3 linked regions of the Tribolium castaneum genome follow. The protein of the gene in region 1 purifies or fractionates together with the protein of each later gene. This does not show direct contact. Links are inferred from orthologs where the notes say so. Each region holds a gene or a part of one and is shown in the gene's direction. Other genes may lie near its edges.

What was found.
Region 2: the proteins of IFT57 (region 1) and Oseg2 purify together in Homo sapiens (affinity purification with mass spectrometry; 3 studies listed by BioGRID and IntAct, counting the BioPlex papers as one, with this or other methods). This does not show direct contact. The link is inferred for Tribolium castaneum from reciprocal best matches to the Homo sapiens genes IFT57 and IFT172.
Region 3: the proteins of IFT57 (region 1) and Oseg5 purify together in Homo sapiens (affinity purification with mass spectrometry; 3 studies listed by BioGRID and IntAct, counting the BioPlex papers as one, with this or other methods). This does not show direct contact. The link is inferred for Tribolium castaneum from reciprocal best matches to the Homo sapiens genes IFT57 and IFT80.

What each region holds. Positions count from the first base shown.
Region 1 is NC_087402.1:750,572-754,332, reverse strand, and holds the start of IFT57 (intraflagellar transport protein 57 homolog), read left to right. Parts: upstream 1-1,385; 5' UTR 1,386-1,400; coding exon 1,401-1,569; intron 1,570-1,616; coding exon 1,617-1,777; intron 1,778-3,012; coding exon 3,013-3,128; intron 3,129-3,169; coding exon 3,170-3,761. Other genes in the region: apoptosis-resistant E3 ubiquitin protein ligase 1, read right to left, coding at 1,071-1,257. UniProt on the Homo sapiens protein: Required for the formation of cilia. Plays an indirect role in sonic hedgehog signaling, cilia being required for all activity of the hedgehog pathway.
Region 2 is NC_087394.1:886,039-889,699, forward strand, and holds part of Oseg2 (intraflagellar transport protein 172 homolog), read left to right. Parts: coding exon 1-628; intron 629-674; coding exon 675-949; intron 950-2,329; coding exon 2,330-3,010; intron 3,011-3,064; coding exon 3,065-3,496; intron 3,497-3,661. UniProt on the Homo sapiens protein: Required for the maintenance and formation of cilia. Plays an indirect role in hedgehog (Hh) signaling, cilia being required for all activity of the hedgehog pathway.
Region 3 is NC_087398.1:6,317,478-6,320,072, reverse strand, and holds the end of Oseg5 (intraflagellar transport protein 80 homolog), read left to right. Parts: intron 1-155; coding exon 156-529; intron 530-577; coding exon 578-741; intron 742-792; coding exon 793-990; intron 991-1,036; coding exon 1,037-1,298; intron 1,299-1,349; coding exon 1,350-1,673; intron 1,674-1,717; coding exon 1,718-1,841; intron 1,842-1,886; coding exon 1,887-1,943; 3' UTR 1,944-1,992; downstream 1,993-2,595.

The sequences.
Region 1 (3,761 bases):
ATAATAAAAATGTGGAGTAGTAAATAGTCTTTTAGCAGACTCACCCCGTATATTCAACTTTCAAGTCAAATAATTTAATTTACTAAAAGTTTCAGAATTTTTTTTCGTAATTTGAAAATTTCCAGAAAAAAATCAATTGTGAAGATCCACTGATCAAATTAAAATTAGTTCCATTAAAAAAAATCTTATATTTGAAACGATTTGGACTACGAAGCATTTAGTTTAATATGAAAATAAATAATTGCGAAAAATTCTGAGAAAAAAAATCACGTATAGAGAAAAACGTAAAGTCTTTAACAATTATACAATCTTTTTTTAGTCAAATAATCCCCAACTATAAAAATAAAAAATCACCAAAAATCATTCCAACACAAAATGCGTCCAAGTTGGCAGCATTTGAACACGCCAACCTACCTCGAACATATCCTTTGATAAACGATAACACGCGACCCTAATGAGTTACTTTAACGACTACAGTTTATGGTAGAATTTTAACCGCAACCATTTTAATTTTACTATTTGTTTGCCCAACAAATTCCACATTTACTCCCTGCTGTGAGATGACCAACTTTTATTATTGGTACACATTCAAAATAAAAAAATTTACAAAATCATGAAAAAAATCAAGTTGCGTGTTTTAGAACCGGCGCATCCACCATTTCGCCTTCAGTGGTATAATTACCATCGCCATTACACCCCAAAAAATGGCCTGGTGTTTTGAATTAATTCTTACCAGAGGAGGCACTAGCGGACGGCTGCATGGTCATGCCAATTGAGCAAATTTCAGTATCGTCATCCCACAACATTTTAACACAACACACTCACAACCAACAAAACAAACCCAGATATGTTACATTGATACGGAGCGAGTTTTCAAGGGGTTTCATGGTATTTCTGTGGTAGCAGGTGCTGGGTCGATGGGTGCTCGCCAGCGACTGCAGTGCCTGGCTTTGTTTGTAACCCTGGGCGACTGTATTCCGATACTGCGCCCTCGCACCCTTACATTTGCACCCTTAATCAGGCGCGTTTCGCTGCTTTTTCCAACGTCATCAGTCATTAATTTCACTCACCTTTGTCAACAAAACAGTCCTTGAACGGTGACAAATTGTTCCGTTCTAGCCATTCATCGACTTTACCATCCGGTTTATTGTCCGATTCAAATAATCCAGACCAAAAGCAAAAACACAGTCTTATCACACTAGCAACACTAACAAAAACCAAAAATACAACAGCGAATAGTTTGGCACAACGCTTCATAATACAATTTTACGAAATTTTCGTTACATTTTGGCTTTTTTTCGAGTTTGGTTGAGACGGCTGTGCCCACTTTTAGCAACCGGCCGCCATTACTGTTTTTGTCAAATGTGGCGCCCTCTAAGTGGGCGGAGCCGCACGTTACCATGACAATACGAATACAAATTGACGAAATTTTACGCCAAAAAATGTCAGAAGAGAGTGAACAAACGTTTTCGGCTTTTAGCCAAATGGAAGGGCTTCTAGATAAGTTGAAATTGTTGAATTACGAAGCTGAATTTTTCAAGGAAACTAAGCTCAAGCCCATCCATAGGAAAGTCCCCAGTTTAATAATTCAAATAGTAATGGAATTAATTACAGGTATTATTTTGTTGTTACCAAAAACCCGGGCGAACAATTTTATTTGTTTGCCTTATTGGCGGCCTATTTAATACAGAAGATTGGAATTAGTTTCCAAACGCCACAAGAGGATGATGACCCGAATGTGACCGTGGAAAAAATACTAGATGTGGTGCGAAAAAATGTAATTCATTATTGAAATTTGCACTATGGTTGGAAACAGAATATAAGTTGGTATTTTTACAAAACACAGTATGATACGTCATTTTTGTCACGAGTTTATAAAGCGAGTTGCATACTATATTTTTTCTACGACAGTAGAAGTAACATTTGCACATTTTTTTCGAAAAAAACATAAAAGTTTCAACGATTTCTCTCTTAAAAACCACCAAAATAGCATAAGAATAATTAAAATTAGATATTTTGTGGCCAATTTTATATAAAATGTTTGAACTAGAATTTTTTCTTGAAAACTTTAGACTATATATTAATTCCCAAATCGTTAAATTAAATCACCAAACCCCAAAAAAACAGCAAATTAGATCGAAAAAACGTTTTATTCTAACGTTATAGCATTTTTTTTAAATTTTTAACTCTAATTTTTCACCAAATTTTGTCAAAAAGCAGCAAATTACGGTAAAGAAGACAATATTCTGGAATTTTCCAAGTTCAAAAATTCCTTATTTTGAGAAACTCTGAAATAAATGAGTCCAAAAACTCGAAATTTTTGCTGAATTCCGTCATAAATTTCTTAAAAAATCACGAAATTAATGTGTTTTTCGTCAAAATTAATATAAAATATCTAAACTATCGTCAAATTTGTGCATCTTGGCACAAAATTGAGACAAAAAACACAAAAAAACAGCAAATTAGGTCAGGTCAGGTCAGGTCAAAAAAGTTTAATTCAAACATTTAAGCATTTTTTTTAATTTGAAACTTTAATTTTCCACCAAATTTCGTCGAAAAGCAACAAATTATGGTAAAATTAGCGTTGTTTTGGAATTTTTCAAGCGTGTAAGTTGATTTTTCAGGTAAAAATTCTCATATTTCGAGAAATTCTTAATAAAAAATTAAACCTCAATTTTAAAATAACACAGTTTTACATAGTTTTTTATGATTTTCTGCACGTTTTCGTCTTAGGAACACGAAATTTTTGGCAAATTTCACAATAAATCTCCCACAAAATCCCCAAATTTGTGAATTTTTTTAAATATTTCAGTTAAAAATAATAAAAAAATATCCAAACTATCGCTAAATTTGCGCCTTTTTCAAGCACTTTTAATTTTTCAGCTAGGAACTCATTTTTTTCGCTAAATTTTGCCAAAAAAAAACAAATATCAAAAAATAAACAGACGTAAAATCAAAAATTCTGTTTCCATCCACTAATTTATTGGCCAAGTATTAAAATCCGAATTCTAGGAAATTGCTGTTAATTTCCACGCCAATAAGCTGATGCAAGGTGTGGGCGAACAAGTGGTTTACATTTTGGACAGTCTGGCCAGCAAGGCTTTGGAGAAAAATTTCATGTTCCAAAAGTGAGTAAATCCCCCTTTGTTTGCTTTAAAAATTGTGTTAGGCCTTTGCTTCCCGAGGAAAAAGCGGAAGAAAGCGAGCTGATAAACGACGAATCCGAGATAAACCTTGACCGTGTGGAGGAGGAAATGTTGGCAGCTTACACGGACGATTCCGACGAGGAAAACCTTTTCCTCCTTGATAACGTGAAAGTGGCCCGGAAAGAGCCCCAAATGGCCGAAATCAAAATGAACGTAAATGAAGAAGCGTGGAAATTGGAACTGGAGCGAGTTCTCCCGCATTTAAAAATCACAGTTAAGAATGAAAACCGTGATTGGCGTTCGCATTTAGAGCAAATGAAGCAATACAAAGTCAGTGTTGACTCGTCACTTGGTGTGGTTAAAACACAGTTGGAGAAGTTGCATAAGGAGATAAGTCAAACGCTTGATAAAATCGCAAGTCGAGAGAAGTTTCTCAATCGGGAGCTGGAGAATAATTTGGATGAATATAGAATGCTGCAAGATCAGCTCTCGAAAATCAGAGATGCTTATAAGGGGATCAGCGAGGGGGTTGCTGAGAGGAATCGCGAGCTGTTCAGGCTAACGGATCGATTGGAGACAGTCAAACAGCAAATGGAGGAGAGAGGGAGTTCGATG
Region 2 (3,661 bases), on another chromosome or scaffold:
TGACTTGTGGTGGCTTATGTGGTGTTGTAATGCTATTTGAATCGGTTTTAAAACGAACAGTTTGGAAAGATAAATTTGAAATAACATACGTTGGTCCAAGCCAAGTCCTTATAAAACCACTCGAAAGCATCAAAAGCAACGAAAACGGAATTATAATAAAATCACAACACGGTGGTGAAATCGAAGATGTGAAAATAATGGGCAAGGATTTTTATCTCGTTGCTCGAACTGATGAAACTTTATTAGTGGCCGATTTACAAAGAAATTTATTAAGTGAAGTTCCTTGGAATAATTCAGGACGACATGAAAAATTCTACTTTGATTATGCGAGCGTTTGTTTGGTTTTTAACGCTGGTGAATTAACACTCATTGAATATGGAGATGATCAAGTTTTGTGTTCGGTGCGAACCGAATTTGCAAATCCGCATTTAATTAGTGTACGTTTAAACGAACGCATTTCAACAAGTGATAATAAAAAATTAGCTTATTTGTTGGATTTGAAGACGATTTGTATCGTTGATTTATTGAATGGGGTGTTAATAATGCAAGTGACGCACGATTCGAAAATTGATTGGTTAGAGTTGAATGAAACCGGACATAAATTGTTGTTTCGGGATAAGAAACAGAGGTTTGTGTTGTATTTGTTTTTTTTTGTGGCTAATTGTTTGTCGTAGATTAATTTTAGTCGATACAACTACTCAAAACAAGCAGTGTATTTTTACGGGTGTTAGTTTTGTTCAATGGGTTGAAGGTAGTGATGTAGCTGTGGCTCAAGCCAATACGAGTTTAGCTATTTGGTATAATATTGAAATGCCTGAAAATCCCACAATAATGAGTGTTAAGGGTGATGTTACCGATGTTGTGAGGAATAATGGTAAAACCGAAGCGGTTTGTATTGATGGGAATAATGTTTATAATTTGGAATTGGATGAAGGACTTGTCGAGTTTGGTAAGTATTTTTTTGCAATTATTCACGCAAATTTTTATTTTTTATAATTTCTGGATGAAATATTCGCAACTAATGTTGTGACTTTTCTTTAATTTTCTCAATCTTTAGAGTCCTAACAACATTCACTAGCTTGATGCGCATTTTCTTTACAAAAAAGTATTCGTCCAAACATTTAGTTGTTAGGGCTCGTAGTGCAAAACTTCAAAGTTTTTTACGCTCCGTTTTTTCTTTCCCCTTAGAAAATCCTTCTATTTTAACAAAATACCTTGTTCATTTTTTTTATTCTTAAGTTAATTTAATTTAATTTAATTTAAACGTTTGTGAGAAAACGAAACAATTCCCATTAGTCATCAACAATATTTTATTTTATTTTATTTGTTAGCAATTATCTTGAAAACAATTAGTCGCAGGACAATCATCTTTAAAAAAAATAGATAATTAAGAGAACTTTCCAACAATAACAGTTCCGAAGTTATTGCCCGATAATTTTTCTTTGCAAAAGCGAGTTTTAAAACACTTGAAACTAAAATTTTGTACAAAAAATTTCAAAGCTTTAAATCTAGTGAAAATTTGGTATCATATGCACAATGAACTACAGAATTCACTGGAATAAACCGTTTCGCACTATGACTTTTAATTTTTGAGTTATGAATTTTTAATGGATAACCCGGCGCATCCACCATTTTTAAAATTGAAATATTTTTTCGGGTAAACTAGCGTTGTGAAAATCGTGGTATAGTTCGTACAGTGAGCCGTAGAATTCAATCGAAGGAACCGCTTTGCTCTACGACTTTTAGTTTTTGAGTTATGATTTTTTTGTGTTGAAGAATTAAATATGAAATGGCAACACTATTTTTTCAATATTTTTCTCAAGGACGGCAAAACTATTTGATAAAGTGGAAGTGTTTTGATGTAAATCTATGTAAAATGGTCCGGGAAATCGACTGGCGTCAAAAAAAATGCCAAATTCTTAATCGTTTTTTAATTATGAATTTTTTAAATCTCTTCTATTTCTATTCTATTTTTTGTTTTATTTGCACTTTTCGCGAAAACTATTAGTCGGGGAACAATGGTCTTTTTTAAAGAGGATATATAATTAAAAGAGCTTTCCAACGATAATACATTTCATAGGGTTATTTCTAATAGTTTCGGAGTTATTGCCTGATAAATGTTCCGGGTACCGAAAATCTATCCTAATCTCGATAAAATTTTGAAACTAGTATCATTCATAAAGTGAACCGTAGAATTCACTAGAATTCAACCTAAAAACGACGAAATATGGTTTGCTAGACAAAATAACCTTCATTTTCATTCTTATTTTAAGAGTTAAAAAATAAAAAGAACATATACAGTTCCACCACCCGCTTCGTTCGCTTCTAGGTACAGCAATCCACGATAATGACTATGCAAGAGCCGTTCTTTTCCTCGAATCAATGGGTAATTCCCCGGAAGCTTCAGCAATGTGGCACAACTTGTCAACAATTGCCTTAAAAGAACACAATTTACAATTAGCCGAACGTTGTAATGCAGCTTTAGGTAATGTAGCAACTGCACATTTCCTACGTGAAACGATTGAAAAATCAACAAATGAAGAAGAAAGTCCGGAAATTTGGGCACGTTTATCAATCTTAAACGGTGATTTAACAACAGCCGAAAATATTTTTTTGGAACAAGGTGATATTGAAAATGCTTTAAATATGTACAAAAAATTACACAAGTGGGATGAAGCTTTACGTTTAGCTGAACAACGTGGTTATGATAAGTTGAAACAATTACAAGATGAACATATGTCTGTTCTTTTGCAAAGTGGGCAATTTGAAAAGGTTGGACAAGTTCTAGAGAAGGAAAATAAGTTTGAACAAGCTTTAAATATGTATATTAAGTCAGGGAAATTATTACGAGTACCGTCACTAGTATTAAAAAATGAAGTGCTTTTGAAAGATCATGCCTTAATAGCCACGGTTTTGAAAAATTTGGTTAAACATGAAATGTTTGAAGCTGCAGCTGAAATTTACGAAAGATTGGACAAAATTGATCTTGCAATGGAATGTTACCGTAAAGGTAATCAATTAAGTGGATGTCTTATCAATTATTTATTACCAATTATTATTAAAGGAAAAGTTTGGAATAAAGCTGTGGATTTAGCTCGTGAGGTAAGTCCAGACAAAGTTGTTGATTTGGAGGAAGAATGGGGCGATAGTTTGGTCGAAAGTAAACAATTAGATGCTGCCATAAGTCACTTTATTGAAGCTGGACGCACTTTGAAGGCTTTAGATACGGCAGTTTTAGCCAAACAATGGAAAAAAGCCGTTCATATAATTCGAGTAATTGATGATCAAGAGTCGGTGAAAAAATATTACGATACTATTGCTGGTTATTTTGCAAAAAATCGTGATTTTGCAACAGCTGAGAAACTTTATGTTTCGTCTGGAATGTATAAAGAGGCGGTTGATATGTATAATGAGGCCGGACATTGGGAGAAAGCACATAATTTAGCATCACAATATCTGGAACCGGATGAAGTTGCCGATATGTATATCAAAAAAGGTAAGTACAAAAGCACAATTTCCATATGAGCAATTTTACTCCAGTAAAATAAGCATTTAAATCAAAATGTTGATATAAGTTACTGTGAAAGGGTTGAAAATACGAAAAAGCGTTTTTTTTAAGATTATTCAGAATCGGTAAGAGCTAGAAAAGTTTTAAATAAAG
Region 3 (2,595 bases), on another chromosome or scaffold:
ATTTTGGCTTTAGTAAGTGATCTCTATTCAATTTTTCACACAAAAGCAATAATTTCGAAATCAACAAAAAATAAATTGAACAAGCTCTGAGTTTAGTTAACTGTTAAAAAAAATAAAACCCATATAATTTATGCTCCTAAGATCCGTAATTGTAGTGGTCAAGATCTCTCGAAAAACCAACCACGGGCTGCGTTTACAAAATGGCATGGTCTGGAGATGGTACTCAACTAGCGGGTGCTTGTGCTAATGGTCACGTCTTCTTCGCACACATAGTGGAAAGACACGTTCATTACAAAAATTTCACTGCTTCAGTAACCGAACGTAAAGTCGTGACGGTTAGAAATGTTGTGGACGATACTTTCGAACAACTCGAATTACCAGAAAGAGTAATACAATTGGCTCTAAAATACACGCATTTGGTTGCAACAACGCCCACACAATGTTACATTTATAGCACCAATAACTGGAATACACCAGCAATTTTTGACTTGAAGGACGGTTCTGTAATTTTATTACTACTAGCCGAAAAGTATTAAAATACCGGGATTTAATAGCAAATATTAAATTCTAATTTTAGACACATGTTACTGGTTGAAAAAAACACCATCGGCATCTACAATTATCAAGGGAGACTTATTGCTTCGCCCAGATGGCCCAACATGAGATTAGACTCTTTAAGAGCTACTCATATTAGCTTATCGTCCGATACTTTAGTCGTACGAGACTCTATAGACCATAAAAGTACTTTTTTTGTTACACACTGAACATTTGGTTTTAATATCAAAATTTTAGTCGTGCATGTAATTGACTTAAGCAGTGTGAGAAGTACCACAGAATCCACTTCAACGGTTCAACACTTTCTGCCCATTTTACAAGTCGCTCTTGACCAGTGGGGACCACCAAGTGCCCGAATGTTAGCACTGGTGAACAAAACTAAAGACCTATACGTCGTTGCACCAAGAAGTAATAATAAAATATTCCATAAACTAGGTAGTCAAACGCTAAGGTTGCCTCAACTCTGATTACAATTTTGCAGGTAGGAAAACAGAGTCGTTTCAGTGGAATTCAGAAGCAAACATCATTGCAACGATTCAAGATGCACAGTTGGTTGTTTGGTATTGTCCGACTGCTGCTTTTAATTCAACTCTTCTGAAATTATGTTCAATGCAATACGGCGCTCCAGAGCTGGGACGTAATCCGAGAATAAGTGATTTCGTGGGGAATTCGGTGTCAATTCGGAGAGCTGATGGTTCTTTAATCAACGTCCCGATTTCTCCATTCCCTTCAATACTTCATAGGTAGCTAAATGTGTTTCCTTGTCTGATTAATAGTCACTAATTCGGCCTCAGATGTATTCAAGACAACAAATGGAGCGACGCTTTAAATCTATGTAGATCAACAAACGACGAGACTTTGTGGGCATGTCTTGCAGTTTTGACGACTCAGTCCAGTGCCGATGTTATCGACATAGCGGAGGAAGCTTTCGCCAATATTAATCATTTTGATAAAGTGTTTTACATCCAATATGCAAAGAGTTTGACGAACAAAATTCAACAAAAAGCCGCAATTGCCCTCCTTGGTGGGGCGCAGCAAGAAGCTGAGGCAATTCTTTTGCACAATGGGATGGTGTTTCAAGCCATTTACAGCAACATTCAAATGCACAACTGGAGGCGGTAGGAATTATAAGAAAGCGGGCAAAAACTGAGAATAATTTCAGGGCTCTGGATTTGGCAATTAAACACAAAACGCATATTGACACAGTGTTGTTCTTAAGGCAAAAGTATTTAGACTCGTTGGGAAAACCCGAAAGTGATAACAAATTTTCGTCAATGAATGAAACTGTAAGTTGATTCATGGAGTTTTGTTTTTACATTTTGTGGTTTCAGATACAAATAGATGCGGAGAAAGTGCAACAAAAAATTTCAGCCGAACTGCAAAAGTAAATATCACATTGGGTTTTTGTTGTTAAAATAATAAAACGATTAGTTCATTCGTGTTTCTCTTTATTTTTGACGAGCCGCTACAATGATATAAACGGAACAATCAACAAAAATTTGTTACAAATATTAAATTTATTATTTTACACATTTAACTGTTATACAGCAAATGAATTAAATCATTGTTTATTTGCGAGAAGAATGTGTAATTCTTCGAGTAAATATAAATTTGTTTGTGGCAAAAGAATGCGTGAAAATAAATATAGTATTTTCTGCCTCCGGCAAAGGGGTTTAATTTGAATTTTTCATGTTGGAGCAACAACTCTGAAGACTGTTTTTACCGACGAAGTCGTCACAAAAATCAATGAATGAATCGGACAAACCTCTTTGTTTATCACCTTGTAACAATTATTATCACAGAGATTTTTTTTGGTGACGTTTTATCCATTATATTCTTACACAATTATTGTGCCGCTAATTTTATCCAGTTTATTACTTGCTGTTGTTGCAGAGGGACTGCATTAGAAACATAAATAAAATCAGAATCTTTCGGTCTAAAAGTTTTAAATTTGTTGGCTAGTGCGTGTTGTTAGTTAGTGGAGTGGATTTCCAGGAAGAAAATTAGGAAACAATCCGGATTAAAGGGTTAGTGGTCTGC